Rattus norvegicus: one gene and its partner. The main gene of each other region encodes a partner of the protein of the gene in region 2 in a complex. Links are inferred from orthologs where the notes say so. Each region holds a gene or a part of one and is shown on either strand. Other genes may lie near its edges.

Region 1 (16,114 bases), on a different chromosome or scaffold from region 2:
ATCTCTCCAGCCCAAAGCAGGACTTTTTAAACAGTGATTTTGGTAGCAAAGCCAAATTCCCAGCACGGTATTTCAGTTTTAAGACTCATCTGCCCCCAACCATGCAAAAGCTCCATGGTGGTACACATCTGCAATCCCAGCATCCAAAATGTGGAAGCAGGGAGGTCAGAGATTCAAGGTCATCCTTAGCTACACACCAACGTGAGGCTAGCTGGGCATATAGAAGTTCGTATTTAAAAAAATTAACAACAGTATAACCCCCTAATAATCCTGTACTTTTGGCATCTAAGTATCAGACTTAGTTTTTAGGCTCTGTTGCCACCTACTGGTATACTGTTGCTGTTATTTTGAGAACCTGTCTTGTCAGGACTTATTGCTGTGATGAGACACCAGGACCAAAGCAATTGGGGAAGAAATGATTTATTTCTCTTGCATGTCCAAACCATAACTCACTGAAAAAGTCAGGGCAGAAACCTGGAGGCAGGTGCTTACTAGTTTGCTCAGCCCACTTTCTATAAACCCAAGACCACCAGCCCACAGATAGATAGTATCTACAATGTGCTGGGTCCTCCCCTATCAATCACGTACTTTCTTTTATAGTAATTTTTTAAAAAAGATTTATTTTTATTTATCTGAGTATACTGTAACTGTCTTCAGACACACCAGAAGGGCACATCGGATCCTATTACAGATGGTTGTGAGTCATCATGTGGTTGCTGGGAATTGAACTCAGGACCTCTGAAGGAGCAATCAGTGCTCTTAACTATCGAGCCATCTCCGGACCAATCACATACTTATCATGGAAGAGCATGATTAGCTAAATATTTCTTTATCGTGCAAGAACCTGATTGGTTGAATGGGAACCCAAGTCCTTCATACAGGCCAGCCTAATTAAGTCGGACAGCCTTGAACTTCAAATCTTCCTGCCTCCATTGTGTACCACCATGGCCAGTGCTGGGAGTATACCCCAGGGACTCAAGCATACTAAACAAGCACACCACAGAGCTAATCTCTCCCTTACCTTCCTGTTTCATTTTGAAACAGAGTCTACTGTATAACCCAGGCTGCCCTCAAAACTCTCTATTTTCCTACCTCCACTATTGGGAAATTACCAATGTGTCATCATGCCCAGCAGACTGACCAAAATTCAGTTTCTGGTCACAATGAATCATTTCAACATAGTACTGGAAGATTGTGACATCACAAGCAAACAGCATGGGTTTGCTATGTCAAAGTACTGCTTTACAACACAATTCAGTATGGTGTCATATGCTGCACTGTGACGTGCCAGTCACGTGGTAATGACACAATGGAGCATTTAATATAACTCAGCTGTGACGTCACAGTGGCATACATGGAGCACCATGTCATTAGGGGACATTCTGGCATCTATGGAACAGTCATTATCACAACAGAGCCCTGCAGCATCACAATGACACACGATGACACAATGGAACCTTGCATTATTATCTCAATTGACCTGTAACATCAAAATGCTCTGTCAGATGAATGTGATGATGGCATAATGGTCTAATGTGATTGCACAATGCAGCACTGTGATGACAAAGGGACATGATGTTACCGTCAACAGTGACACTGTGGGACTTACCTGCACACACTGGTGTCTCATGCCCTTGGATCCCCTGGAACTGGAGTCACTGGCAATCGTGAGCTGTCGTGTGGGTGCTGGGAACCAAGCCTATGCCTGAGCCACCTGTCCGGCTTTCCTTGGTTCAGTGGAAATGCTCGGTTCAGTTTTTGCAAATGTGAGAGTAGCTCCCAGTATCCAAATCACTGGCAAACACTGGCCTGTCCATGTGTAGTCCAGTCAGATGTTTCTGGCTGTAGTCAAGTATAGATGTCAGTCCTTAAACATGACCTCAATGACTGCAGATGTCCATGTGCTGAGGCCAGAGGACATCGCAAGTACATAAAAAACATCACCATTACTTTCAGTCAAATGTTAGTTACCAAAAAACTACTTTATAGGGTTGAGGACATGGCTCAGTCGTAGAGCACACAGGACTTAGGTTCAACCCCCAGTAAGGGAGCAGGGAAGATGTCAGGCAGGGTGGCATAGACCCAGAGGAGGGTCAGGAGGGTCTACGTTGTGTGCCTGGAATACACAAGACTGTCTCAACAAGTTAAAAAATGGGGCCGTAAAGATGACACAGGAAAGTATTTGTCACAAGTGTGAGGTCCTAAGTTTGGACTTCAGAACCTATGTAAAAAAGGAAAAAAAACGGGCTGGAGAGATGGCTCAGTGGTTAAGAGCACCTGACTGCTCTTCCAGAGGTCCTGAGTTCAATTCCCAGCAACCACATGGTGGCTCACAACCATCTGTAAAGAGATCCGATGCCCTCTTCTGGTGTCTGAAGACAGCTACAGTGTACTTATACATAAATGAATAAATTTTTTTTTAAAAAAAGGAAAAAAACAAAAAAACAAACAAACAGGCTTGGTGTGGTTTTCTCCATAGAGAAGAGATCTCAGGCTTGCTGGCCTGCTCTGGGAGACCATTTCAAAATGGTCTTCTGATTTCCAGACATGTGCCACGGTCTGTGTGTGTTCTTTCCTCTCCTGACATCAGAAACATAACCATAAGGTAATGTGATTAAAGAAATAATCTGCCTTACACATACAAAAGATGTCAGAGGCATTTAGGCTGTGGCGTTCTGACCTGATTCTAAGTTATATTCATTAGCTTAAAACATCAGGAAACTAGGCTGTAACTAAATCTAAAGTGAAGTCCCTGCTAGTGAACGGGAAAGGCTCTCACTTACCCAGGCCCTGAGCTCACTGCCAGGCTACCAAGGTGCTATGTCTTATGGCCTCAAATCAGGTTCATTAAGAGCCCTATCTCAGGCTGGAGAGAGATGGTTCAGTGGTTAAGAGCACTGACTGCTCTTCCAGAGGTCCCGAGTTCAAATCCCAGCAACCACATGGTGGCTCACAGCCATCTGTAATGAGATCTGATGCCTTCTGGTGTGTCTGAAGACAGCTACAGTGTACTCATATATAATAAATCTTAGAGAGAGAGAGAGAGAGAGAGAGAGAGAGAGACAGACAGACAGACACAGACACAGACACAGACAGACAGACCTATCTCAAGCCAGCTGGTGGCAGCACACAGCTTTAATCTCAGCAGTTGGGAAGCAGTGGTAAGTAGATCTCTCTTGAGTCTATCAGACTAGTCTGACAGAGTGAGTTCCAGAATAGTCAGGACAATATAAAGAAATACTGTCCAACCAGAGTCCTATCTCAAGTGATTAAGGGGCAGAGGGATAGAAGACACTTGATTTTCTCTTCAGGTGTGTGTATGTGCACACCCAGCATTTACACTCACACCCACAACTGGACAAAAAGGATGCTTAATGGTGATTGATAGGTATATTCAACAAACCCAAATTAGCAAAACAAAAGCATAGAAAGATGGAGACTTTTTTAGAATTATCCCCACAAGCTCTTAGGTTCTCTTGTACACAAACTGCAGAAAAGTTTGGTCACCGTTGAATCTTCAATACAACCGCTGAAGCCGATTTGTGAAACCTACACACTAGCTTAGCTGCAATTAACTGTGGGTGAGAACAAGTCATTTCAGATTCCTCCTCAGCACCTGGACTGCCCTCTCACTCTCTGGATTTAACTTACAGTTTCAGATGCCTGAGGTTGAAGCCGGACACACTTTTTTGGGTTTTTTTTATATACACAACCACATACAGTCCAAACAGCACCCAGCAGCCATAAAGACTCCTGGGGGTAGTTAAGCCTGAGTTTCATAAGGATAGTAAACTTAAGGGAGCCACGAAGCCTGAAGACAAATTCAGGACAGGAAAGGGCAAAACAGCCAGTTCCCTGGTGGCTTTCCTCACTGGAAAATCAAACATGTATTCTTACTCCAACAGTCCTGTCCATGTTTGCATGTCACCACACTTAGCAAAACACAACGAGATCATATATGACTAGAACTAAGTGCATAGAACGCTGTCAGGATCACTGCTTGCTCTTCCTTTTTCTCAGTCTTTTTTTCCCAGAGCTTTCAGGTGCTGGAGTCTTTTGTGTGTCTTCTTTCACTGGTGACACAGGCAGTTTCAAAATGATTTCATCATCGTCATTGATTTCCATCAACTGTGATTTCCGTCTTTCCAAAAACGTTGGTGTACAAACTGGCGTGGGATCCTGAAAGCAACAAATACACTACAGTCCAGGACTGGGCACAGGCAGCAGGACAACCACTGAGAATCACTACCACCCTAGTGTCCATCACCTTCTTAGCCTTTACCAGGAGCGAACACCCGACACCTCTACCCCCCTAGTTTTAGGTATACCATGATCTGTTTTCAGCTTGTTCTTATTTTCCCTCGACACAAGGGAAGACTGCTTTTCCTCCTTCAAATTATGTCTATAGCAACTGATTCCCAGCATACAAGGACATGCTCACCTGGCTGTCCACAGATGACGACTGCTTCCTCCTAGACCTCTTACTCTTCTTGCTCATGTTAACAGGGTAAAGAAAGGCTGTGCTATGCCCAGATGGCATGGTGCACGCCTATCTCAGCTAGGAGCACACCACAGCGTGTCCTCAAGTTTTGACACAATGCTTCTGCACTTGAGATTGGGGCAAAGAAGCAACAGATACCTAGCTTCTGAGGAAGGCACAATAAAGCTTGGAAATCGATGCCACCTAATTACAGTTATGTGGGGAAAAAGCTGACAGGTTCTATGGAGGACAGAAGACATTCTAAGAGTCAGTTAAGGAAACCTTTGTCAACCCTCGTGAAAGACACCTGGGACTCCTTAATGTCGCAGACAGAGGGCCAAGTCCAGCAAGGCTTCCTTATCTTGTTTCCTGACTAGCAAGGGACTCAGCACCAGAGAAACGCCTCTGCTAATTCACTTCTTGCTCCTGGGGTTGCTGAAATCTAACCTATACACAATCACAAGCCCCATGCTCACCTGCTTCATTCTGATTTTGATTATTATGACTATTTCCAGCTTGAAAGAACATGAAGAACATCTTAGCTAAACTGACAAGATAATGAAGATCAGGGGGCTGGAGAGATGGTTTGGCACCGGCTGCTCTTCCAGAGGACCTAGGATCAATTTCTAGCACCCACATGGCTCACAAATGTGTGTATGCAAACCTGCTTGGGCCAAAAGGACACTGGGTATCCTACCTTATAAATCTTTATTTCCCTTGGACAAAGTCTCTCCCTGAACCTGAAGCTAGACTGGTGGCCAGCAAGTGTCACATGTCCATGTTTCCCCTCTTCTAAAGCATGAATCTGACATTATGTGGATTCTAGGATTTGAACTCAGGTCCTCATATTTCTGTAGCAAGTGCTCTTTCTCACTGACTCAGCTTCTACACAATTTTAGGGTTTTAAAAATCACAATGCTGCGGCTGGAGAGATGGCTCAACAGTTAAGAGCATTGACTGCTCTTCTAGAGGACCTGAATTTAATTCTCAGCAACCACATGATGGCTCACCACCATCTGTAGTGAGATCTGATGTCCTCCTCCAGTGTGTCCGAAGACAGCGACAGTGTACTCATATACATAAATAAATAATTAAAAAAAAAAGATACTCTCTCACAATGCAAGAGACCAGTTCTAGCCTAAAGTTACAGCAGGAGGATGGGAGGTTCATCTTCAGAACACTTTAGTTGGGGGCTTACTGTGTAACATTGGGGCTCCCTTGGGCTATATTCAAGATTTCAAGATCAATTACTAGATCTCAAAAAAGTGCCCCAATAAACCCCCAAACACCCACCAACTATATGAAGTCTTTAACAAAACGTGAAGTAGTGGAAATTACTTTTTTACCTTAAAAAAAGTTTTTTTGATTAGTCTGTGTGTGTGTGTTGTGTGTGTGTGTGTTGTGTGTAGCTCGGAGGACAATTTTTAGGAGTCAGCTCTTTCCTTCAACAATGTGAGATCCAGTGTCTGAACTAGGTAGCCAGGCTTGCTGGCAAGTGTCTTTGTTCCAAGTCTTGCCAACACTCCTGAAAGTATTTCTATAGTAACCAGTGCCCATTATCCAGATTATCTTACCTGGTTAGCCTCAGAATCCCCATGAGTGTTAGCAATGCTTGAAATCTCTTTCTTTGGCTTAGGAAGGACCTGCAAATAAACAATTTGCATATTTATCAGCTATATGCATATGTGGTAGCTGAATTCCCATTTTAAGTATCAGTGTCCAATTGCCAAATGGTTTGAATGTAAGTAACCAGGGTGAGTAGTGCATGCTTATAAACAGTACTTGGAAAGTTGAGGCAGAAAAGCCTGCAATTTGGGGGAGCCTAGACCATGGAGCAAGACCTTGGTTTAAAAAAAAAAGCTAGGGACTAGAGAGATTGTTCAACAATTATGAGCACTGACCATTCTCTCAGGACGCAGATTCAATTCCCAGCACCCAGATGGTGACTTGCAACTATCTGTGAGCTAGTTTTATGGTATCCAACACTCTTTTCTGGTCTCCAAGGATACCTGGCAACCACTTGGTACACAGACAGGAAATTATACTGGGGGAAAAAAAGCTGGCAGGGGCCTGGGAATGTAGTTCATACAAAGTAAAATACCTAAAGCTCTGGGTTATACCTCCAGGACTGCACGAACCTGGAATCATTATGTATGCCTGTAATCCCAGCACTTAGAAAGCAGAGACAGGAAGACCAGAAATTCTATGCCATTCTTGGCAGCATAACAAGTTTGATGGCAGCTTGAATGAGAGACCCAGTCTTCTTAATACAACAACAGGAGCAGCCACTAGTATAAGCAAGTTCATCTATCTACTCAGGATCCCAAGATACAGAGGCAAGAGGGTCTCTGAAGGCTTGCCTGAGCTACAAACTGCTCAAACCTGTCCATGCAACTCAGCCAGATCTTTTCTCTAAACGGGGCTAGAGTTTGAGGGTGGGAGGGATGGATGATGCAGGCTCAGTGTCCTGGGTTCCATCCTCAGTACCAGAAACATTAAAAGCAACAGACTACTTGCCTCGCATGGGCAGGCTCCAGCCTGGTTACCCATCAACCAAAAGAGCCACATGTACAAACCAAACCAAAAACCTAGTGTGAGAAGCAGATTCTGTATAATCACAGACACAAGTTACAACCAGTGAGGCAGGAAGCTCATCCCTGTAAGACAAACCACCAAGAAAACTAGAAAAGGATATTTACCAGTGAAGGAAAACTATAATCAATACCCTTCTTAGCTAGTTTCTTCCTGAGTAATTTTTCCTTCTTCTTAAACCGATATTCCATCTTTAACATCTGCAAATGTCCTCGTTTCTGATTATAGCGTTTCACTGCTGGAAATGATGGCGGATGAAACGGAACATTGCACTGGTTAAAAAGGTCTTTATGAACTTTTTCTCGTGGCATAAATTTACCTATAAAACAAACAAAGAGGAAAGGTTCTTTTAATTTTGTATTTCCCAGATAGCTATTTCTTGTGATATGAACTAACTACTTGACAGAAATAACCTTTAAGCATCAAACAATGATTACTGTCTATGAGTGTGCATGTGTGTAGGTTCACATACCCTGATGCCTGTGGAGGTAGTGCACAACTCTGGGGGTTGGTTCTCTCCTACTTTGATGTGGGATCTAGGGATCAGACTATCACACTTCCACATCAAGCAGCTTTACCTGGTGGCCCACCTCTCTGCCCTCTTCTTTCTTTTTTTTTCTTTTTAACACAGGCTCTCACACAGCCTAAGCTGGCCTTGAAGTTGCCTGCAATGAACGTGAACTTCAGGTCCTCCAGCTTCCACCGCTCAAATACAGGCACTAAAGGTGAGTGCCATCAGATGCAGTGTATGTGCCTGTATGGCCTTGTGAACGCTGGGCCAGTACTCTACCAGCTAAACTAGACTCCCAGTCCCACATAAGCCCTCTCTACCCTGGACGGGGCAAAGATTTGTAGTAAAAAAAACTCAGTAAAATCCAGAGTCTTTCTGGTATTTTCCTCAAACCAGATAAAGCAGAGCACCTATGCCCTCAGGTTTCTGTCCAGCCACTTTCTCCCAACAGGAGGCTGTATGCCTGTAAACTGGTCCCAGGCAGGGCACATGCTACCATGGGTGTAGGCAGGCTGGGCACTTAGGTCTACCTTCCAAGGCAGAGATCTGGATGGTGATGCCACAGGTTTCAGTGATGGGGCACAAGGTTCACAGGGCTCTACTTACCGATCTCTGTGGGAACAATTTATATGCCTATCTGTGGGTGAGTCATCTGTGCAGAACAAGGAGGGCTCCTTGTAGTCTTCTACCCTCTCACTCTTGGTTTTACTTCCTTCAAACAGCCTCTCACTGAGCCTGGAGCTGGGCTGACAGCCAGCGCTGCACCCATCGTTGATGAGTCTGATCTTGAAATGTGATTCTTTACTCTTGGTCTTGCCCTGTATAGACTCCACTAACAGGCCTCACATTAACTTCTTAGTTTTACGGGTGTCAAGAATCTGACCTATAGCCCATCTATCTCTCCCAGTTGAGTTCCCTAACATTTGGTAAGAAATGAACTCAGGCTGCACTGCTGTCCCTTTATTGGCTCATGACTATCTAACCGTCCGTTTTCTTTTCCATTTTTTGACATAAAGCCTCTACACAGCCACGGATGTCCTTGAACTTAGAGAGATCAGCCTGCCTGTGCCTCCCAGGATTAAAGGCATGTGACACTTACACTGGGCTTTAACCCCATCAGTTTCCAATTTGAGCAAAGTTATTCCCAAACACCCGTTAAAGATCGGTCTGCTTCTCTTCCTGAATACAACCCCACAGGTAACTTCCTAATCCAATCACAGTGCAGGAAAGGTCAGAGTACTTACATGATAGAAGCCTTTCACCAAAAAGGTAGTTATCCATTGTTTCTGCAACTATCTTGGCAACATCCTCAGACTCAAACTCCACAAAGGCAAAGCCTCTGCTGTTTCCAGTCTGAAACAGAAAACCCACAAAAGAGCAGTTAAGTGGCTAATTAAGAGCATTCAAGGAATAGGGAGGCAAAGTTTAGAACAGAGGCAGAAGGAACACCCATTCAGAGCCTGCCCCACATGTGGCCCATACATATACAGCCACCCAATTAGACAAGATGGATGAAGCAAAGAAGTGCAGACCGACAGGAGCCGGATGTAGATCTCTCCTGAGAGACATAGCCAGAATACAGCAAATATATAGGCGAATGTCAGCAGCAAACCACTGAACTGAGAACGGGACCCTTGTTGAAGGGATCAGAGAGAGGACTGAAAGAACTTGAAGGGGCTCGAGACCCCATATGAACAACAATGCCAAGCAACCAGAGCTTCCAGGGACTAAGCTACTACCCAAAGACTATACATGGACTGACCCTGGGCTCCAACCTCATAGGTAGCAATGAATAGCCTAGTATGAGCACCAGTGGAAGGGGAAGCCCTTGGTCCTGCCAAGACTGAATCCCCAGTTAATTTGATTGTTGGAGGGAGGGTGGTAATGGGAGGAGGATGGAACCTCCTCCATATAGAAGGGGAGGGGGAGGGACTAGGGGGATGTTGGCCCGGAAACCGAGAAAGGGAAAAACATTCAAAATGTAAATAAGAAATACCCAAGTTAATAAAGATGAAAAAAAAAAAAAAACATTTGACCTGGGTTCAACTCCCAGCACCCACATGGCAGCTGAAATCCCCTATTTCAGAAGCTCTGATGTCCTCCTTTCTGGCTTCTGCAGATACTAGGCATGCATGTAGTGTACAAATACACAGACGGGCAGAACACCCATACACATAAATAATAAAATTCCCTTTGAGTTGGGCATGGTGGTGAATGCCTATAATCCTAATATGTGGGAAGCAGAGGTAGGATAATTACAAGTTCAAGGCTAGCCTAGTCTGTGTAGCAAGACTGGAACAGCCAGAGTTCCACAGTTAATCTCCATCTCAAACCAACCAAACGAAACCCAAACACTTTAAAGGTGCTTACAGGATATAAATCTAAAAACCTGTTGAAACACATGGCCTCTGTCATGGGAGTGATGGCTCATCCTAGTATCTGAGCCACTTCTAGGCTCTGGAAGTGGAACCATGTTTCTGGAGCAAATATGGATTCATTGCTCACTGTACCTTCACTAGTTGAGCGGTGAACAAAGGCTACATCTCCTGGTAGCTGTTAAATAAATGCAGCAGTACATCAAGAATCAATTATTTCTTAGAGGGGCCCATAGATGTTATTTGGGGAGAGGCCTCTGGAGCAAGTGAGGAGTAGCCATTCCGTGAGACTGTGGAGTCTACAGAATTTAGCAGCTATGACTCAGGCAGAGGCAGTGGCTGCTAAGATTATCAGGAAGCTGGACAAACACTTGACAAAGGAAAAAAAGCTGCTGGCTGTATTAGCCAGGGCACCTGCAGGAGACAGCAGGTACATTCCAGAAGGGATCCACGAAACTCAACCCACCAAGAGCCAAAGCTCAGGAGCCTCCTCAGGAAATGGAAGACTCAGACAAAACAACACCTTGTTTCCAAGGAGGGAGGTAGAGACAGGTGGGGCAGCACAAGTCTCCCAAGGGAAAGGATTGTTCAGAGAACTAGGAAAGGCAACCAGCAGAAACCCCAAGAGTTGGAAATTCTCTTCCAGGGAGGAACCAGTGGGCAACAGGCCTTAAGAAGCTGGTGTGGTACCACAGACAAATCCCACCGCATGATTTAAGCCCCAGTAAAAGCAAATTCACAAAAAACAAAACAAAAAAAAACCCACCAAAAACCAAAACCAAAAAACTGACCTGCCACTTCTGTTTTGGCTAAACTGGCTGGGAGCAAGTTCTACAATCCAGGCTCCAGCTCCCAGTACTGGGCTCACTTGGCCTTTCAGTTGGTGCTTGAGGAAAAGGTGCGTGTGTGTGTGTTCTACTTCCTGTTTAGAGCGCGAGTGCTCTTACCATTGGGCCATTTCCCCAGGTCTCAGTCACCCTGTCACTGGGCTGGAGCTGGGCTGAGCTGGCTAGTCAGTGCGCCCCAGGAACCCCATTCCCACTTTCCTAGCACTGGGATTACACATGTATGTGACCATATCTGGCTTTTGACCTGGGTTCTGTAGATGGACAGTTACAAACTGGGCTATCTCCACAGCCTCATTATTTTTCTCTCTTTATTGAGATAGAAATCCACATTATGTAGCTGTGACTGGCTTCAAACTCAGTGGTCTACCTATCTGTCTCCCAAGTGCCGGGACGAACGGTATGAGCCACCATGCTGCTTCGCTTGTGAAGAGTTCCCAAGTAGGAACTTTGTAGGTAACAAAGTTTTGCCTATGAATACAAAGGAGGCCGTACAATTGACAAGCAAAATAAACATAGTTGAATTCAGGTACAGAATCTTACCCGCTTACTTCTGGACAATCTGAATCTTCTAATATCGCCAAACTGGGCACAGTAGTCATAGATGTGGCTTTCAGAGAGCGTTGAAGGTAGGTGCCCCAGATAAACTACTCCAGAGTTAAGTTTTTCTTCCTTCTTCTGCTGAGGACAAAACAGATAAACATTTTAAAAAATTCACACTGCACCAAAACATTGTATATACACATTTTTTTCTGACCTGGGTCTCATTATGGAGCCTTGGCTGGCCTGAAACTCACTATGTAGACCAGGCTGGCCTCTAATTCATGAATACTAAGAGTAAAGGCATTACTATGCTCTCTGCAAAGGACTTTATTTTTCAACAAAGGTATGTTACCATTCCTTAACTTCAGAAAAATTTAATTCTAAAGTCTTTTTTCCCTTTTTTGAGACAGGGTTTCTTTGTGTAGCCCTAGTTGTCCTGGAGTTAGCTTTGTAGACCAGGCCAGACTCAAACTCACACAGACCCACCTGCTTCTGCCTCCTGAGTGCTGGAGTAAAGGTGTGTGCCACCACCCCCCAGCTTTCTAAAGTCCTTTCAGAGGATAGGTAGAGCTTTGCCTGCCTCTGTCTCTCCAGCACTGGACTGAAGGTAAATGTAACCTTACCTGGCCTGCAACAAAATTTTCAACACCCTTCATTCCTCTTGGTCCGGGAACATTTCTCTATCACAGCAGAAACTGAAAAACTAGGTGTCTGTATCTCTTTTCTTAAGCACCGCTGTGCAAACCTGAGGCTTGAGTTCAATCACACAGAGCCACAGACTCTGCAGAGACAGACTTATGTGTGCCGTGGTGTGCATGCACACCCACCTGTCCCTACAAAGCAGTCGGCACATGTGTTCCTTAATGGACAATCAAGTGAAAGTCTGTCATTGTCACTCCGAATCCAAGACCTTCAACTCTGAACTCAGATGGCAGCTTATTACATCGAATCATTTCCGATTAACCTTCACAGTGAAGACTATACTTCTGTCACCACCTTAGAGAACAAGAACTTGTTTCCCATCAGGTAGGGTACTGGGTGACCTATAGTGACCTACACCTGTAATCCCAGTGGATATATGGTTCAAGGACTAGACTGCACGGCAAATGTGATGCAATTTTGTGCTACAAAAACTCTACAAAGACACTGTAACAAAAACAACCCGCACAAAAGACACCCCCGCCAGGACAACAGCAAAACAAGAAAGAAAATCTTCCTTTCTCTCCAGTGCACCTCATGCTGAAAACCAAAGGGGATATAAACTTCCTTTCGGGGCAGTCTGGGAACAGAGCTTGGCAGGCTGTAATCCCTATTTTCTTTGGCGAAGCTCTGGTCTGAATACTGAGCCCGAGCTGTTTTCTGACTCTCGATCCTCCTGCTTCCCCGCTCGTCCAAGGACCTGGATTTGTCTGTTCCGTCTACTAAGCACTACAACGTAAGGGGACATACATACCTTCCAAATGCTGTGGTTCATTCTGAACCCCCATTTTGCGGGCCAAAGCGGAAATGTGACAGCTTTAACATATTTTGGGAATTGGAGGTGCCATGCTCCCCACACGTGGTACACCTCCTTTTTCACGTGAGCCCTGAGGGCCTAAAGGGTCAAACCTCACACCGATTCCCTGCCTGCCTCAGTCTCCAGAGCCCGTGAGAGGTGGGCTCCCGAGTCAGCGCGGCCAGAGAGCCCCGCCGCTCACCTTTTTCGCGCGCCGTTGTATTTGCGTCAGATCCTTCTCAAACTGCGAGTCCTCCCGCGGGTTCAACGCCAGAGTCGGCTTCGCAGGGCCTGAATACTCGGCCATACTGGAGAAGCACGAACAAGTTAATCCACGCGGAACCTCCGGAAGTGACGTTCTTTTCACTACTCGGAAGCGGAAGCAGAGGCGGGAGTGTAGCAAGAAGAGCAAGCCCTGGTGTTTGGAATTGGACGACCTCGAGCGCCACCTATTGACCACAATCTAAAAGACTTTCTAAGACGGATTAAAAATTATTCGGAGGCTAATGTTGGTGAAGTGCTTGCCCAGCTCTGCATAAACCATGACTGGAGCCCCACGCCTGTAATCCTAGAATTTGGGAGGTGGAGGCAGGAGGATCAGGAGTTCAAAGCGGTTCTCATATGCATAGTTCGACCACGGCCTGGGCTCCATGGACTCAAAACAAATTTACAAGTCCCAAACATTATCCATGTCTGTTGGCTAGTCAGGCCTACAAGCAATAGGGAAAGTCTTCCTGCCATGGACTCCTTTTGTAAACTTTGTAAACACTCAAGCAGGAAAGTGGTCAGGCCCCTGCCTGAGGAGCTTCAATGGCCAGCCTCCCCAAATCTCCACATGTCCCCCTCTTTCCCTAACATCCCTAACGATTTCTAACCGCCCAGAAGTGGGAGAGTGACCAGACTCTGGCATACAAGAAAAAAGTTCCACCAGTCCCTGAGTTCCCTCAGGTTCAGGACTTGAAATTCCACCAGTCCTCACCATGGAAATCTCCACAACATAGTGCAACATATATTTGTATTTTTGATATTATACATGTGTCTTTATGTGTTCAGGAATTCAGGTGACCATAGAGAATAATGGTGTGGGATCTCCTGAACCTGGAATTACAGGCTGTTGTGAGATGCCCAGTGTACTGGGAACTGAACTCAAGTCCTCTGGAATAGTAGAAAATATTTTTAACTGTGAACTACTTGTTCAGTCCCTATTTATTTTATTTTTATGTGATAAGTGTTTTGCCTGTCTGTATGTGTACCCTATATGTGTAATGTGTGTGCCGAGGACAGAAGAGGGTATCAGAACATGGACTTAAGGACTGTGAGCCAGGGTCCTTTGGCTCTTAACCACAGAGCCATCTCTTCAGCTCCCTAGTAGGTTTCTTTAGATAACACAATAGGAATTTTGAGAAAACACACACACAAAAAAAGAAGTTTGAAGACTTTCTTATGTTGAAATAATTGTCTTGGGATGTAGCAATGGCTCAGTGGTTAAGAGCACTGGCTGCTCTTTCAGAGGTCCTCAGTTCAATTCCCAGCAACTACATGGTGGCTCACAACCATCTGTAGTGTGATCTGACGCCCTCTTCTGGTGTATCTGAAGACAGCTACAGTGTACTCATATACATGGAATAAATAAATATTTAAAAACTGTCTTTCTGTCTTCTCCATTTGTTTATTTACTTATAGATTAATTGATTGATTGATTTTGTGTGTACGCCTGTCAATGAGTATGGGTGTGTGCACCTTTGCCCTGTATCACATGTGTCTAGGTCAAAAGATGACTTGCAATAGTTAGTTCTTTCCTTCCCCGGTATCGGTTCTGGGGACTCGGGGCTGGTGGTAAGTGCCTTTACTTGTCAAGCCATCTTAATGACCTGGTCTGAAGATTATTTTAAGCCAAACATTTTTGAGACTCAGGGGATACAAAAAGGTCTTTATCTAAGAGAGCAAGTTCTGAGGAGATGTGGCTTCCTTAAATCCCTTTGGGGAATATCATGACATTGAGAACACTGTAAGAGGGGCTGGAGGTACAGCCTCGGTACAGAGCTTACATGCCTGTTTTGAAGCTCTGGCTTCTATTTCAAACTCTGAGTAAGCAGCACCTAGACAGCCAGCAATGTATGAGGCCTTCTCAGTTTCCACAAAAGGGGGAGGGCAATGGCAAGGTGGCTCAGAGGGTAAAGGCTACTGCTGTTAAGTACTGCTGAATTGGACCATGGAACCCAAATGGTACAAAGTGAGAACCAACTCCAGCAAGCTCTCCTCTGAGGCTGTACTAGTTTTCTTTCTGTTGCTATGATAAAACAAACCAAAACTAACCTGAGTGAGAAACAAGATTTTGTCTTATAGGTTAAAATCCAAAGGCAAGAACTGAAGTAGAACCCATGAAGGACCATTGCTTATTGGCTTGTTCCCAGGCTCATACTCAACCACTTGTCTTATATAAACCAGGCCATCTGTCAAAGGATGTTAGCATCCACAGTGGGCTGGGCCCTCCTATGTCAACCAGCAACCAGGAAAATGGCCCCAAAACATAACTCCCAAGGACAATCTGATGGAGGCAACTCCTTAACTGAAGTTCCCTCTTCCTAAGTGTATCAGTTACTTTCCTGCAGCTGTGATAAAGCACCACGATCAATGGACATTATAGGGAAAGGAGTTTATTTTGGTATATAGTTCCAGAGGAAGAATGCAGGAGAGCAGAGAAGTCATGGGAGCAAACAGTAGCAGGAAGCTTGGGAGCTGAGAGAGCCCATCTTCTGCAAACATTAAAGCCTCTACCTCCCACGTTCTCGCATGCTCAACTCATCTACCTTAGTTTTCTATTACTGGGATGACATCACGAGTAAGGCAATTTGTAGAAGGAAGAGTTTATTTAGAGCTTACATTTCAGAGAGTGAGCCCATGACACTCATGGCAGGGAGCATGGGGGTAGGCAGGCAGGTGGGCAGGGCACTGTAGTAGTGGCTGAGAGCATATGTCCTAATCCACAAGTAGTAGGAAGACAGAAAGCTATCTGGTAATGGCATAGGCTTTTGAAACCTCAAAGCCTTCCCATAGTGAAACATGTCCTCCAACAAGGTTCCACCTCCTAACTCTTCCCAAAGTTTCCACCAACTAGGAACCACGTACTCAAATATATCACCCTAGGGGGGGCATTCTAATTGAAACCATTACATCTGGTTCATGTTGTACTGAAGTCAAATCCAACGACTCACATTCTAGGAGAGCCTTCTACCTCTAGAGCTGTATCCCTGGCCTAGGGCCTGCGACTTG
Region 2 (16,114 bases):
AGGGCGCACTTTAGGGTACACTCCAGCTTCTCTTCAAGCACTGGGCAGAGATATCTGGAATGATGATGTTACTACTGGAAAACAGAAAGGGGACTAGAGGGCAGAGTAAAAAGTGCAAAGTTGCACGTATGCAAATACACAGTGCAGATATGTTATGTCTATGGTCTGAAACGGAAAGGAGTCTAGGTTAAAGTGAGACTTGGAAGATTATCCTCTCGTACCAGACACCTTGCTGCCAGGCAAGAGGTCAGAAAAGCACATGGTAAAAGCAGAAGGATAGGAGACTAGAGTAGCATATTATCCAACAGCAAAGGTTCCATAGGCAAAGCAGTCAACTTGATCAGTACAGACACCTAATGAAAAGCACAGGTATCAATCACTCTTTAACATAGCAACCTGTGCCCCTGAAGGTGAGCTCATAAGCCATCCTCGTCAGATGTTTCTATCAAAAGTCAAAGGCCCAAAGGATCAGGCTGACTTGTACAAATGACTAATGGTCACAGTCTTCAAACCAAATGCCCCATCGTACAGTTATCCTGTGTAAGCTCTACTATAACTGCACAACTAATGTCTAATGAGTGGAGGAACACCTTCCCATCCCTTGTGATGCCAGACATGAGTAGCTGCAATTGCTCAGAGAGGCCACAGGAGGCAGTGAATTTCACAGAGCTTTATTGGGTAGGACAGAGGGCCACATTTCTACCTGTTTACCCACCAAACATTTAAACTGCTATTGCTCTGAGAGATCCCTGGTGATCTTCATGATCTCCATTGGAGCTTGAAGAGAGTATGATCAGGAAAGCTCAAAGCTTCCTTCCTTAAGCACAGGCAATATTATTTACAGTTCACCTTCACACTGGAGATGAAAATCATACTGGAATCTATCACTAAACCAAATTTACTTTTCCTTCTTAAATGTCTTTGCTACACAGTTTCACTTTTCTGGTGACTTCTTGTTCTTAATATCTTGGTGTATACAATGTCTTCATCCTGTTTGGGAAGAAAAACATAACTCCTAAATAATGTGAAGGAACAATTTGATGAACCCCTCGTCTTTACTAGGTGTCATTCAGGTCTCTCATGTATAAATTAACTTTGAGGGTCTGGAGAGATGGCTCAGGGGTACTTTCCACACTTACAGAGGACCTAGTTTAACTCCCAGCATCTATATAGTGGCTCACAACCATCCAGGGGATCAGATGCCCTCTTCTGACTGACCTCTGCAGGCAGGCACATGGCACATAACACATATACATACATACATACATACATACATACATACATACATACATACATACATACATACAAATGGTTTCTTACTTAGCTTTTTAAAATTAAGACTCTGTGCTCTTTCACAAGCTTCTAATATATACAAGTTCTCCATCACTGTATGTGGTTCACTAATTAGAAAACATCATTCAGAAAAATTGAATGTGACCTAGATAAAAACTTAAGTGTTCTAAAGCCAACTTCCCACAGACAGAGGGCAGTCACTGTGTCCTGAGGTCTCCTATGTGGCTACAAAAGGATAGTGAGTCCTCGAAGGCAGTGGGGAGATAGAAGCAGGCCCATCTACCTGGAAGCCCTCCAATCTACAAAAAGCAAAAAGTCACAAGAGCTTCTTAGAGCAAATGACTCAAAGTAACACAAGGTCCATCCAACACAAATTAGGAAAAGCCAAGGGTGATGCTGGGCAGCTTTATAAGTGATCATGGACAGTTAAGAAAAGGAGACAGAAAACAGGAACTCTAAGTGTGAGGCTCAGTATGGACAAGAAGATCTTGGTATGTGAATGCTGTTGAATTCTAGAAAATAACAGGGAGATGCTAACATGGATCTACTGTATTCTTTAGAAAGGCACACACACCAGATAAGAGGTTTGCTCCTCCAGTACACTTGCAGGATGGACCCTTGGAAAACACATATACCCCACATTTGCAGTATCTGGGTCTATGGACAATGGAACAGACAACAAAGAAAATAGTCCTGGGAAAACTTGTCAGTGTATGGAGTCCACTGGGTACAAGTGAGGAGAAGAGGACTGAGTGCCTATGACCTGGCCTGATCACCCTCAAGGCTTGGCTGTTGTGTTCAGGATCATTTGAGTATAAGAACCTGGATTTTACTCCTTCCATTTTATTCTGATAAAGTACTACTTTTCAGGATTATGAATCTGGGCTTAGCGTTCTGAGGGAACATAAGATATACTTGTTAAGCCTGTGAGGCTGATGTGTCTTGGTATCTATAAGAAAGCCTACTACCATGAGAGTTTCTGCTTCTAGACAGCCCCTCTCCACGTCTTAGGTATTGATCTACTTTCCTGAGCCTCTCTTCAATCCTCTAGAGCAGTGGTTCTCAGCCTCTTTGTGGGGTTGTCAAACAATCTTTTCACAGGGGTCACATATATCATGAATATCAGATATTTACAATATGATTCATAACAGTAGCAAAGTTAGTGATCAAGTAGCAAGAAAATAATTTTATGACTGGGGACACCACAACATGAAGAACTGAATTAAAGAGGGTAGGAAGGTTGAGAACCATTGCTCATTCTATCTGCACCTCTTCACTAGACTTTCATGCCTCTTGCTCCATCCCTCAGCCATGTGGGATGTTTTGTGGCCTCTGGGAGGCCTGGGTCTCCTTGCACTGTCAGTTGTTTCTTGGTTTATTCTAGAAGTGGTTAGGACTGCCAGCTCAGCACACCTCTGTCTTGAGTGGCTGTCACTACCCCTATCTCATCAGCTGTCTCGGAACGTTCAGAGTATGTTCAGGTTCAACTTGAGTGCCAAGAGCAATTATGTGTCGTTCCCACAAAGGTAACTGCCTAGCTCATCTTTAACTTTTCCTAGACTACTGATTAATGTAAGCCTGCCATTGGGAGGGTGCAAGCACAGGCAGCACATGAGCATTTACAATCTACCAGCTTAGATAGTGTGTGAGCTTAGGGTGCTGAGCCAGCACACTTTCTACTGAGCAGACTTTACCTACTTCCTTTTATTTGGTTAGGAGACAGACAACGCTGGGTTTATTCTGCCTTTTTATTTATTTTTTAAAATCCGATTTATTCCTTTATTTATTTTTATTTTTTTGCCTTCACCTATGTATGGACACATGCCTGCTTGGTGCTTAAGGAGGTCAGAAGAGAAGATCAGATCCCCTAGAACTGGAGTTACAGATAGTTGGCAGCTATGTGAGTCTTAGGAATCATACCTGGCTCCTCTGAAAGAGCAGTCAGTGTTCTCAACTGCTGAACGAACTCATTCAGCCATTTAAAAGGAAATCTTTTGAGGTCCTGACATGCCCACTTTTGTTTTAGTTAAGTGTTGCCAATCTCAAGAGGCTGAAGATGTCATCTATAACCATAATAAGCCACATCACAAACATCAGAAGATGACATTAAAATAGCTAGCTCTTCTGGAATGGAACCTTCAGTGGGTAAATTTGCTATTCAAAGTGGATTTACCAAACAAGCACAAGAAAGCAGGAGCCTGAGTGATGGCTTCTCCCACTAGAATAGCAGGAACTGCTGGTATGTCCTTCTGCCTCTGCAACCTGGGCACAAATATTAGAATGTTCTGGGTCTCTAGAATGTAAGACAGCAAGGGCCCTTACCTTCTTCAGAGTTTTTGCATCTTTCTTGGCCCCTCGAGTTACTCTTGGCTTAGGTTCATTGTCCAAAGTGACTCTAGTTTGTCTGGATCTCAAACGCCTAACATCTGGATCTCCAGAGACTCCTTTCTCTTGCTGGGTCTTTATCGAGATTTCTGCACCTGATTTTCTTGTTTTCTCTTCTGCTTCATGAGGCTGGGGAATCTCCGTCTGTCCTCTAGACCTCAAACATGTTCTTTTCCCACTGACTTTGCCCAGAGATGAAGACTTCTTGGTTCCAGGATCTGGATTCTGCGGCTCTGTCTCCTGGGAGATCTTCATTGTTTTCTCATTTTTCTTTATCCCAACCTTCTCTGCAGACGCATCAAACTTGGGGCTTGGCTGTTTTTCAGTTTTCTTTCGGTACCTAGAGCTCTGGGGTATTTTCTAAGGCAATGAGAAGACAGCCACAAAATTAGCTAAATCTAAAAGATCCATCAGGAAAAAAAGATAAAAGCAAAAATATAAAAAAAACCCACAAACTTTATATATTAAATTTATATTTACTGAGTCATCTATGATATTCGAGGCAATGCCTTGGTTACTTTGTTCCTACAGAAAAATAATCATTTCTACTAATAAATTATAAATTCAAGATGTCAATCATAATACATATCAAAACCACTCCAGTTCATACTATTGAAGAATGCCCATCATAAAGGCAGTAGTGGTCCTTTAAAGATCACTAAGGTACAAGGCCCTGCAATCTTTGAGGGGTGTCATGGTAACCTGCCTACTTCATTCCTTTTCAAGGATATATAACCTATGTCCTTAATACTGTCACATACACAGAGCTACACTGACCACCTGTTCCCTGACACATTCTTCAAACCAAAGATACATTTAGTTTAGAGAGGAAAACATTTAGGAGTTAGTCTATTCCTTGCACAGATCCCTAAGGATCACTGGCTACAGCCTATTAATGGTGAAAAATAAAACTTAAGGAGATGAATAGTTATATGTGCACAAACTCCTAGCAATATACACAAATACCCTCAGCAAACACACCCTTCCCGACAAGCACCCACTATATTCCCCACATCACCTGATCTGGAGTGACAGGGTTCTCTCTTTTGGCTTCCATTTCTTCTATTTGCATAATGGTGCTAATGTGCTCCTCCACAGATTCACGTTTATGTGACACACTTCTCAGGTGTTTCACCTTCACCGGCTCAGGTGACACCTGCCTCTTGGTAGAAGCTGCCCTTTGTTTCTTATGTACAGGCTTCTCACCTGTTGCTTCCTGCTTTGGGGTTACAGAGCACAAAGTCCTGGTTTTCAAAATCCTTCCATCTCTTGCAGACTTCCTGGGGGGGGACAGGTAAAGGTTGCTTTTGCTTTGTAATGCTGCAAGGTCACTGGTATCCATCAACACTTCTTTGGGGTCCTCTTTAGAGGTCCTCAGCACTCTTCTGCATTTTCTCAGAGGTTTCATTGAGTCTGGCTTTTGCTGTAGAGTGCTCTTAAGAATATTAGTGTCATGTCTTAGTTTCTCAGAGTGATCTGATATTTGTGTTATTTCTTTGGAGTCACCCAGGACTTCAAGAGGTTGAACCCCATTCTTACGTGTCCTTAGCTGCCTTTTGCTGTCAGTTTCTTTGGCTACTGTATCTAATGTCTGCTTTACAGGTGCCTTTGAAGCTTTGGTACCATTGTCATCAATTTCAGTGACCTTTCGGGATCGCACACTTTGCCTTGATGTTGGCACTGTCTTCCTTACTGCTGAAGGCTTGTCTGCCTCTACTTTCCCATGTCTTGTCCTGGGACGTCTTGGTGAGGGTTGGAGGCTATCAACTTGCTCTGGTTGTAGAGAATTACAGGGCATCTGTGTGGGTTCTTTATCCCTTGCAGATTCCTCAGTGTGACCTAGGGTTTGGATTGGTCCTTTGAGACCAGCCAATTCTACGGTCTGTGCCTTTTCCTTGGGTATCCTCCGTGGCCTCTTGCTGACAGTCATACTTGCTACTGGGTCAATTTTCTGCTCTGTAGACTTCTTAAGCTCTTCAACATTTATCCTGTTACCCATGGGCTCTTTGAGTCTGCTCCTGGTTTCCCTGGCTGGTTGCTTTCTCTGTGCTGTGGGCTCCTCTTCCACACCCACTTTGAATAGTTGTATTCTGAGCTGCTTCTTTAAGCCTACTAAGGTTTTCTTCTCTTCTGGTTGTGGAGATTTGCAAGACATTCTTGTGGCAATTTCCTCTTGGAAACTAGTCAGCTCTTCCAAGGGTTGGGTCTTTTCCTTAACCTTTCTTGGTTGATTCCTCCTGCCGGTTAAACTTATGGCTGGGTCTTGTTTCTGTGCCGAAGACTCCTTAAACTCATCTACACCATTACTACTATCTATGGGCTCTTTGTGTGTGTTTCTGGTTTGCCTTAACACTCTTGTAGTCGTTCTTTGTGGTATGGGCTCTTCAGTCACACCCAGTCTCTTGAGTCGTCTTCTTGGCTTTATCTCTGAAGTTGTATCCACAGGTTCTGGAGATTTGCTGGGCACCTTTGTGGTTTTGTCAACAATAACTGAGTCCATTACCAAGCATGGAGCTTGGCAGAGCTCTTGGAAGCCAGGCAGATCCTCTAGGGTCTGTGGCTCTTCTGCTCCTGCAATTCTTTGCCTCTTGCTGCTAGGTAAATTGACTGCTGTGTCCAATTTCCGCTTTACACATTGCTTCCTTGCTTTAATGACTTTCTCTTCACCTCCTGGTGCTCTAGATGAGTCCACAATTTCCCCTGACATTTTTGGATGCATTCCGTCTTCTGACAGTTCATTTTTCACATAAAGGTTCCTAAGACGAGTTCTGAGCTGTCTACCTGAGATTACTGAAGTATCTATTGGCTCTGGTGGTGGAGAACTGCCTGGCATTTTTGCAAGATTGTCCAGTGTCACTAAATCCTTGTTCTGTCCTGGTGTCTTGGACAGTCTCTTTGTGCTTGCTGGGGTTATGACTGGTAGTGGTTGTGAAGATTCCAGAGACACCTTTGTACTTTCATCAACAGTCACAGGGTCACTGGCACCAGCTGGTGTTTGGAAGAGTTCTTGGAAGCCATCCAGGTCTTCTAGGGGCTGAGCTCTGGTCTTAGGTGTCCGTGACCTTCTCTTATGTCCTGCTGAATTTCCTGTGAATTCCAGTTTCTGCTTTGGAGTTTGCATAAAGGGTGTGGTGTCATTTTCTTCCGGCACTGGTGCAGGTGTGCCTGTCACTGTGTCTGATGACTTTGTTCTTTTCCCAGGTGTTGAAGGCTCTTCTCTCACATCCACCTTACTGAGACCTGTCTTGGACAGTCTCTTTGTGCTTGCTGGGGTTCTGACTGGTTGTGGTTGTAAAGATTCCACTGGCATCTTTTTACTTTCCTCAACAGTCACTGAGTCACTGGCACCAGCTGGTGTTTGGAAGAGTTCTTGGAAGCCACCATAATCTTCCAGGGGCTGGTCTTTTTCCTTAGGTGTTTGTTGTGGTCTGGTAAACCCAGTTAAATCTGCTGCAGTTGCCAGTGTTTCCTTTGGAGTCTCCATAATTGCTTTGATCCCATTATCCGCCTGCACTGGTGCTGTGAGGGCTCTGCCAGGTGACTGCTTCCCGAGAACTGAAATTCCTCCCGTCACATCTACTTGTCTCAGGCTAATCTTGGGCAGACTCTTTCTGTTGTTTTGGGTTCTAACTGGTCCTGATTGTGGTGGTTTAGTAAACATTGTTGAGGCTTCAGTGTTCAAAGAGTCCTTAGCATGGCCTGGCATTTGGCAAAGCTGTTGGGAACCAGTCACGTCTTCTAGGCTTGGTGTGCTATCCTTTGAGGAACGTCTCATCCTCTTACTGCTAGGCATACTAGCTGTTGGATCCAGTTTACGCTTTGCAGGTTTCCTAGATGACCTAAAGACTTTGTTGTTGTTAGGTACTTGAAGTGTGTCTATACCTTCTCCTAATTGTAGGTGTTCCTCTGATTCTAAAAGTTCTTCTTTAACATTCATGTTACTCATACTTGCCCTAGACTGTCTCTCTATGCTCTTTAGGGTTATGGCACTTCCTGGTTGTGGAGAAATAAAGGACATTTTTTTGGTTTTGCCAACTGCTAATGGGCCATTGGCATGGTCTGGTGTCTGGAAACCCTCCTGAAAACCAGATATGTCCTCTAGATATTGGGCTTTTGCTTTAGGTGTTCTGGACTGTTTCCTAAGCCCTGTTAAATCTCCTAAAGACTCCAGTTTCTGCTTTGGAGTTTCCATGAAGGTTGTGGTGTTATTTTCTTCCTGCACTGGTGCCGGTGTGCCTGTCACTCTGCCTGATGACTTTGTTCGTTTCCCCAGGGTCGAAGGCTCTTCTCTCACATCCACTTTACTGAGACCTGTCTTGGACAGTCTCTTTGTGCTTGCTGGGGTTATGACTAGTTGTGGTTGTACAGATTCCAGAGACACCTTTGCACTTTCATCAACAGTCACAGGGTCACTGGCAGCAGCTGGTGTTTGGAAGAGTTCTTGGAAGCCATCCAGGTCTTCTAGGGGCTGAGCCCTGTTCTTGGATGCTCGTGACCTTCTCTTATGTCCAGTTGAATTTCCTGTGAAATCCAGTTTCTGCTTTGGAGTTTGCATAAAGGCCGTGGTGTTATTTTCATCCTGCACTGGTGCCGGTGTGCCTGTCACTGTGTCTGATGACTTTGTTCGTTTCCCCAGGGTCGAAGGCTCTTCTCTCACATCCACCTTACTGAGACCTGTCTTGGACAGTCTCTTTGTGCTTGCTGGGGTTATGACTAGTTGTGGTTGTACAGATTCCAGAGACACCTTTGCACTTTCATCAACAGTCACAGGGTCACTGGCAGCAGCTGGTGTTTGGAAGAGTTCTTGGAAACCATCCAGGTCTTCTAGGGGCTGAGCCCTGTTCTTGGATGCTCGTGACCTTCTCTTATGTCCAGTTGAATTTCCTGTGAAATCCAGTTTCTGCTTTGGAGTTTGCATAAAGGCCATGGTGTTATTTTCATCCTGCACTGGTGCCGGTGTGCCTGTCACTGTGTCTGATGACTTTCTTCGTTTCCCCAGGGTCGAAGGCTCTTCTCTCACATCCACCTTACTGAGACCTGTCTTGGACAGTCTCTTTGTGCTTGCTGGGGTTATGACTAGTTGTGGTTGTACAGATTCCAGAGACACCTTTGCACTTTCATCAACAGTCACAGGGTCACTGGCAGCAGCTGGTGTTTGGAAGAGTTCTTGGAAGCCATCCAGGTCTTCTAGGGGCTGAGCCCTGTTCTTGGATGCTCGTGACCTTCTCTTATGTCCAGTTGAATTTCCTGTGAAATCCAGTTTCTGCTTTGGAGTTTGCATAAAGGCCATGGTGTTATTTTCTTCCTGCACTGGTGCCGGTGTGCCTGTCACTGTGTCTGATGACTTTGTTCGTTTCCCCAGGGTCGAAGGCTCTTCTCTCACATCCACTTTACTGAGACCTGTCTTGGACAGTCTCTTTGTGCTTGCTGGGGTTATGACTAGTTGTGGTTGTACAGATTCCAGAGACACCTTTGCACTTTCATCAACAGTCACAGGGTCACTGGCAGCAGCTGGTGTTTGGAAGAGTTCTTGGAAGCCATCCAGGTCTTCTAGGGGCTGAGCCCTGTTCTTGGATGCTCGTGACCTTCTCTTATGTCCAGTTGAATTTCCTGTGAAATCCAGTTTCTGCTTTGGAGTTTGCATAAAGGCCGTGGTGTTATTTTCATCCTGCACTGGTGCCGGTGTGCCTGTCACTGTGTCTGATGACTTTGTTCGTTTCCCCAGGGTCGAAGGCTCTTCTCTCACATCCACCTTACTGAGACCTGTCTTGGACAGTCTCTTTGTGCTTGCTGGGGTTATGACTAGTTGTGGTTGTACAGATTCCAGAGACACCTTTGCACTTTCATCAACAGTCACAGGGTCACTGGCAGCAGCTGGTGTTTGGAAGAGTTCTTGGAAGCCATCCAGGTCTTCTAGGGGCTGAGCCCTGTTCTTGGATGCTCGTGACCTTCTCTTATGTCCAGTTGAATTTCCTGTGAAATCCAGTTTCTGCTTTGGAGTTTGCATAAAGGCCGTGGTGTTATTTTCTTCCTGCACTGGTGCCGGTGTACCTGTCACTGTGTCTGATGACTTTGTTCGTTTCCCCAGGGTCGAAGGCTCTTCTCTCACATCCACCTTACTGAGACCTGTCTTGGACAGTCTCTTTGTGCTTGCTGGGGTTATGACTAGTTGTGGTTGTACAGACTCCAGAGACACCTTTGCACTTTCATCAACAGTCACAGGGTCACTGGCAGCAGCTGGTGTTTGGAAGAGTTCTTGGAAGCCATCCAGGTCTTCTAGGGGCTGAGCCCTGTTCTTGGATGCTCGTGACCTTCTCTTATGTCCAGTTGAATTTCCTGTGAAATCCAGTTTCTGCTTTGGAGTTTGCATAAAGGCCATGGTGTTATTTTCTTCCTGCACTGGTGCCGGTGTGCCTGTCACTGTGTCTGATGACTTTGTTCGTTTCCCCAGGGTCGAAGGCTCTTCTCTCACATCCACCTTACTGAGACCTGTCTTGGACAGTCTCTTTGTGCTTGCTGAGGTTATGACTAGTTGTGGTTGTACAGATTCCAGAGACACCTTTGCACTTTCATCAACAGTCACAGGGGTCCTAGCAGCAGCTGGTGTTTGGAAGAGTTCTTGGAAGCCATCCAGGTCTTCTAGGGGCTGAGCCCTGTTCTTGGATGCTTGTGACCTTCTCTTATGTCCAGTTGAATTTCCTGTGAAATCCAGTTTCTGCTTGGGAGTTTCCATGAAGGTTGTGGTATCATTATCTTCCTGGGCTGGTGCTGGTGTGCCTGTCACTCTGCCTGATGACTTTGTTCTTTTCCCAAGGGTTGCAGGCTCTTCTCTCACATCCACCTTACTGAGACCTGTCGTGGACAGTCTCTTTGTGCTTGCTGGAGTTCTGACTGATTCTGTGTGTGGAGATTTGCTGGGCATTTTTGTGATTTTGTCACCAGGGACTGGTGATAGAAAGAGTTCCTCGAAACCAGTCAGGTCTTCCACAGGCTGAGCCTTTTCCTTAGCTTTTTCTAAAGGCCTCTTGCTTCCAGTTACTGTTGCAGCCAGCATTTCATTTTCAGATTGCCTCAAAGCTTTGATATCCCCATGCTCAAGTTTTAGAACTTTGGGAGTATGCCTACTTTCCCCTGACATATGTATAAGCTTTGTCACGGCAGAGAGTTCTTCCTTCCTATCTACTTTCCTCCTAGATGTGCTGGTCCGTGGCTTTGCGCTTGCCTTGAGGTTCTCTGTTTTGGGTTGTGGGGATTTGCAAAGGACTTTAGTTTCATCATCACCTATGGGTTCATCTTTGAGATCTGGTGTTTCAAAGTGCTCCGTGAAATCAGCTGCACCTTCTAGAGGGTGTGTCATTTTGACAGGGGTCTTTGACCAGCGCTTCACTCTGGTTGCATCTACCACTGTGTTAACTTTCTGTTTTGCAACTCCTTGATCACTTTTTGATGTGTTTTGCGTGTACATGGATTCCTCTAGGTTTTGTATTGTTCCTTGTTCTTGACTAAGTAGGTCCTCAGCACAGTCTGCTGATTGGGTGACCATCTGACTTCCTACTAAGTCTTTTGTTAGTTTCTGCTTCCTGGCACTTGATCTCCTAGCGGATGTCTTTTCTGAATCTTCACTTAATTTACTGTTTTCCTCGCATCTTTGTGAAGAGTTTTCACTGCCCTGCACTTGTTGGTCTACTTCTTGTCCTTGAAATGTCTTCCGTAGATGTCTTCCTGTGATGCTCTTGGCAAGGACTGCTTCTGTTTTTTCATTCTTACTTTTGACAAGGGTATGTCTGAGCTCTCTAGATCTCCTTAACTTGCTCATACTTGATGCTGTCTTTAGAGGCTCTGTCTCAGAGGCTGGAGTCTTCTTCTCAATTTGCGTAATGTTATGGACATTCTTAGGAGTTTGCACTGTGTTTTCATGTTTGATGCTCTGCCGTCTTAAGGTAGAACTTGCAGAATATTTATTGGATTGCTGCTTTGCTGCATTCTGAGTACTGAGGAGCACTTTTTCTCCTATAAGAAACAAAAATATATATACATAAAAAGTTATCATTTTCTCCACCTAATACCAGCTTAATATTTTATCTTTTGGAAGTATATAAGAACCAATAATTTAGCTTTTCTACCAAGGAGTTACTAGATGATCTCAACCATGTACTATTTATGATCTATTAAATGTAATATTATTTGGTAACAGGGAAGAGCCATTGTAAAGTATCCTTAAGGGTCTTCTGAAGCCTGTCAAGACAGGTGACATGGACCTGAATACAAGCAAATTTTTGTTCTGAAACATTTGAAACAGTTATTTATTATCTTGATTCACTAATGAAGTAATGGATTCTACTATGCATATTTATGGTCCATATCAAATTCTGTATGTAAGCAACTTGTGATCCTCCTACCTCTACCTCCCAAGTTCTGAGATTAAAGCCATATATCACCACACAATGTTTTTGCAATGCATAGACTTAACCCAGAGTTTCCTGCATGTCAGGCGAGCACTGTAACAATCGAGACTTACATCTCTATGCTCACAATAATTTTTACTGAAATCTATATATAAATATGGCAAGACAAGTGTACTGTTTACACCTCTATCGCCTTATGGCAAAGAAGCTAATAGCATACAGACTTATTAACTGAGTGAATAATATTTCCTACCAAGCTAGGTCAATGATTAACATTTAGAAAAATTGCAAAGACTGCTTAAAAACAGAACAGAGATGGTGGAAATGGCATTTGACCAGGAAAAGCTACTGTAGAGAAGAAACTCAGTACTGTGCATGAAGAAAAAGGCAATCTTCAAGTCTCCATTCCACAGTCTAACAGTGGAAAGGACAAATGAACCAACCCAAAATCTCTGAGGCGGTGGGTGGGGGTGTGTCTTCTGAGTTGGTTCCTTGCAACTGTCTTTCAGACAAATTCTCTGAATCAGACAGAATGGAGCCCACGTCACTCATCTGCTGCTGCTTCTCCTTCACTGGAGTCTTGAACATTTCAGTTAGTCCTGATAAAAGAAAACATTGGAAACATGGCTTACATTATCTCATTCCTCATATAAAACAATGTAGATGACAAAGAAGCTTTCAGATTCCAGGGATGCATCATCTCAGTAAAATGATTTTTGTTAATATGCTCATAAAATTAAAATTAAAAGAACAAAACAAAACAAAAACAAAAAACAAAAAAAACACGTATAGCCCACTTCTCTAAACCTCTCCTATGGGAAAGGAAATTCAGCGATTTAGCTGACCTCTGTAGTTTTCTACACTAGTTCCCAAACAATAAGCCCCAGCACAGGGACAAAAGTTAGGCATGGGTACCTCACCTCAGAGTATTGATGATCTGGAATCCATGACCCACAGGCCTTGTTATGCCCTCAGCAAGTCTAGGTTTACCAGATCTAAATCCTCGGTATATATAATATGTTTCTACAGTTTAGAATACAGGCAAAATACTGACCATTTTCAGTCCTGTCAAGAACAAACATTCCCACGCACACACACTTTAAGTACCATCCCTCCCTACTCACTTTACTATCAAAAAGGCAGTAGTGACTCCTTATGGCTAATTAAGCTTCCTGAAAAGGAGGCTTGTGTGTCATGCTTCTGTCTTGTTGGCGTCACAGAATGAGAGCTGGAGCTGGCATTCACTAAAGAACGGGTCTGAGAACTGTTGCAGTGTCTATCCACACTAGCCTGTTCAATAAGTCTCATTTGTCTTCCAGACCTTACTGCTTACTTGAAATGTCAGGGTTTACCCTCTAATGTTTTAAAATGGAAGCTGCCAGGTCAGGTATGGTAGCCCTAAGAAAGTAGAGGCAAGCAGATTTCTTTATGTCTTAAGTTAACCTGAATAGTAAGACTCTATCTCAAGAAAAAAAGAAAAGTGTGTGTTGGGGGGCTGAGGGGTTGGGAGCTGCCTACACCAAGAGAAGAGAATTGACTGACTCCAAGAATGAATGAAGGAAGGAACACTCAAGACAAGTCACTGTCTCATGTACCGTGTATTTAAACTCTTATTTATCTTTGAGTTTTTGAAATATAATATAATCCAATACAATATATATTTATATATCATCCTCAATTTATAATCACATACACACACTTGATTCATTTTTTGTTTTCATCTTTTGTTATTTTTATAGAGATAAATAAATTAATCCAAAATGTAGTTCTTTTAGGGGCAATTTCACAAGCATTATACATGAGGTATTTGGTCATTTTCAATTCCCAATCTGCCACAAATAAAAGTAAGATTTTACCTACTCAGTTCAAATTGTAATTCTCTTCCAGAAACTCACATATTGAGGAACATGAAACAAATCTGCTTTCCTGAGAGTAAGTCTAAGCCAGCCAATTACACCTTCACTGATACTCAAGACAGTGACAACAGCTTATCAATAGCTCAGAAAAACCTTTCTTACATGGCTTCCTCTCAGCAAGCAGTTAAGCTCACTAGAAAGAAAATGAATCTTGGAAAAGCATTACTACTGCTCTAAACCAACTTATTCCCTGGGATCAGCCGTCAGTGCAACTCCTTGGGAAGAAAATAACACCCAATCATCCTCACACCACAATGCACCTGTCCGTTTTCTGTTCACACACTGCTCACCAGAGGCTATGCACTTCAGATTTCCATCCCTGCTTCCTGTAGGGCACAGATCCCCCAAATTGACTGAGACCTGTCCTCTACTCCCAACCAACTTCATCTTTGAATATTATGACACCTGAAAGCTGCTGGCCCAATGGGTTATTCTGTAGTCACTCACTGCTACTGGACTCCAGCTGGGGTTCTAAGGTTGTAAGAGGGGGGCGTGGGATGGAGTCACAAACAGAACGATCAAGAAGACTGTGACTGCAGACCTTCTCGTAAATGTAACTACATTTACCTGACAGATCTTCACTGAAGTCCATTTTCCAGTTTAGCATCAAGTTGTTCAGCATTTTGTAGGGTCGGGCAGGCATGCTTGCCTTTTCAGTCTGTGCTCTCCCTATTACAATGGTACAGGGTGAGTTTGCATGGCCTGTAGTAAATTGATCGTGAAGGCTGCTTGTAGGTTTCTGCAGACAAACAAAATATCACAGCATGAACATCGCATGCCTAAGACAATTGAAAATAAAAGCAGAGCGTGGCTGAAGCTCTATACCTTTGGAGTACTGGGTCTTCTTTGTCTTTTTCTTGTCTGCTTTTGAGGGACATGTTTCACAACTTTCATTTGCGTTTGTTTCACGCCAAGTTTTACAACATCAGCCCATGATTTTGCAACTGTCAAAAGGAAGAGATGGTGAACGTTTCAAAACCCATCATAAGAAAGTTGAGTTGGAACTCTTTCTGCCCAATACAGCACTAACCAATCAGGTTGGCTTCAGAAGCACCACTTCTTCTTTTGGAGCAAATCATCTGTAGAATGCCATGCTGACTTCGGCTGATGGATGCTCTCTTCGCAGGCAGGTTGCCACTCTTCCTGCCTGCTTTCTTGGGAATGTCTGTCTCATATAAGAATTTGCTTCCGCTGGAAGCAAGTGAAGTCCTGCCTGATCTTCGTCTTTCATCATTTGTCCTTGGTGGAGTTACTCCAGGAGACTCTTGTTTCCCTGGAGACGGAGGCCGTTCCTGACAAGGCAGAAATCATTTATGAAAAGCCTGAGTAAGGAGGTTAACATCTCTGTAATGCCTGTTAAAAACCTTTACAACAAACCAGGTAGCTTTTAAATCATGCACCAGTGGCTCTGTCTTTCAAGGATAAGAAAGGGATCAGTTGCCCCATTCATTTAAGCAGAGGAAGGGGACATATGAACCAGTGGAGTCTATTTCTGGTGGAAACAGGGACACTACTCAGCGAAATAAGGCACTCGGTTTCAGCTCAGCCAATACCAGCCAGGGGGTCTGCATGGGCAAAGCTACTTTTGTGAGGTGGGACAAGGCAGGTATTAGGTGTGCTTCCAAGTCTTTTAGGTTCTAAAAGAATAAGCTGTCCAGGGCCCTTTTAGTAAACTGAGCTACACAGTCACACCAAGGAAAAGCAATAGAACAGTAATAGAGGGCTAAAGGCCTAAGGAGCTACATGTGCAGAAGAGATATGTTTTACCGAAGATTTTCCTCCCCACAACCTCAATGCACTATACTCCCAGGAAAAAAACAAAGCAACCCTTGTGGTCACATGTGCTGTTGCCCTCAGCTTCTTCTAAATAATGCCAGTGTGTCCCAGGGAGTTATAGGGTCTTCTTTAAAGGGAAAGTGTCTAGTACCCCGCCTTACCTCCCAGAACTACTTGAGAGCTCATATGCTTGTTACTGGGCATGAGACAAGTAGTAGAGAAATAAGAACTCAATTACCCTTTACCTCAGCCTGGTTTTGGATAGAAAGTGAACCATCTGTGAAATATGAGGTACAAACACAGGGTTGACTGTCCAACTAACCTTGATGATTTTCTTTA

Evidence for each region.
Region 1: the proteins of Mki67 (region 2) and Nifk are in contact, whole or in part, in an NMR structure (PDB 2AFF), measured with the Homo sapiens proteins. The link is inferred for Rattus norvegicus from reciprocal best matches to the Homo sapiens genes MKI67 and NIFK. Residues at the interface, in NP_002408.3 of Homo sapiens: Thr9, Ile10, Lys11, Arg12, Ser13, Pro18, His19, Phe20, Pro21, Ser23, Leu24, Arg31, Gly32, Ile33, Glu34, Cys35, Asp36, Ile37, Arg38, Ile39, Gln40, Leu41, Pro42, Val43, Val44, Ser45, Lys46, Thr66, Asn67, Ile91; in NP_115766.3 of Homo sapiens: Val228, Asp229, Ser230, Gln231, Gly232, Pro233, Thr234, Pro235, Val236, Cys237, Phe241, Leu242, Arg245, Gln248, Val249, Leu252, Asp256, Lys257, Asp259, Glu260, Ile261, Val262, Phe263, Lys264, Gln265, Pro266, Ile267.

The regions. Positions count from the first base shown.
Region 1 is NC_086031.1:31,943,212-31,959,325, reverse strand, and holds Nifk (MKI67 FHA domain-interacting nucleolar phosphoprotein), read right to left. Parts: upstream 13,181-16,114; 5' UTR 13,149-13,180; coding exon 13,044-13,148; intron 11,485-13,043; coding exon of another isoform or gene 11,482-11,484; coding exon 11,347-11,481; intron 8,937-11,346; coding exon 8,828-8,936; intron 7,392-8,827; coding exon 7,180-7,391; intron 6,124-7,179; coding exon 6,055-6,123; intron 4,180-6,054; coding exon 3,994-4,179; 3' UTR 3,376-3,993; downstream 1-3,375.
Region 2 is NC_086019.1:199,925,500-199,941,613, forward strand, and holds the end of Mki67 (proliferation marker protein Ki-67), read right to left. Parts: coding exon 16,098-16,114; intron 15,292-16,097; coding exon 15,030-15,291; intron 14,944-15,029; coding exon 14,825-14,943; intron 14,739-14,824; coding exon 14,567-14,738; intron 12,683-14,566; coding exon 12,527-12,682; intron 11,689-12,526; coding exon 7,669-11,688; coding exon of another isoform or gene 7,315-7,668; coding exon 4,697-7,314; intron 4,039-4,696; coding exon of another isoform or gene 4,027-4,038; coding exon 3,616-4,026; intron 991-3,615; coding exon 925-990; 3' UTR 651-924; downstream 1-650. UniProt on the Homo sapiens protein: Protein that associates with the surface of mitotic chromosomes and acts both as a chromosome repellent during early mitosis and chromosome attractant during late mitosis.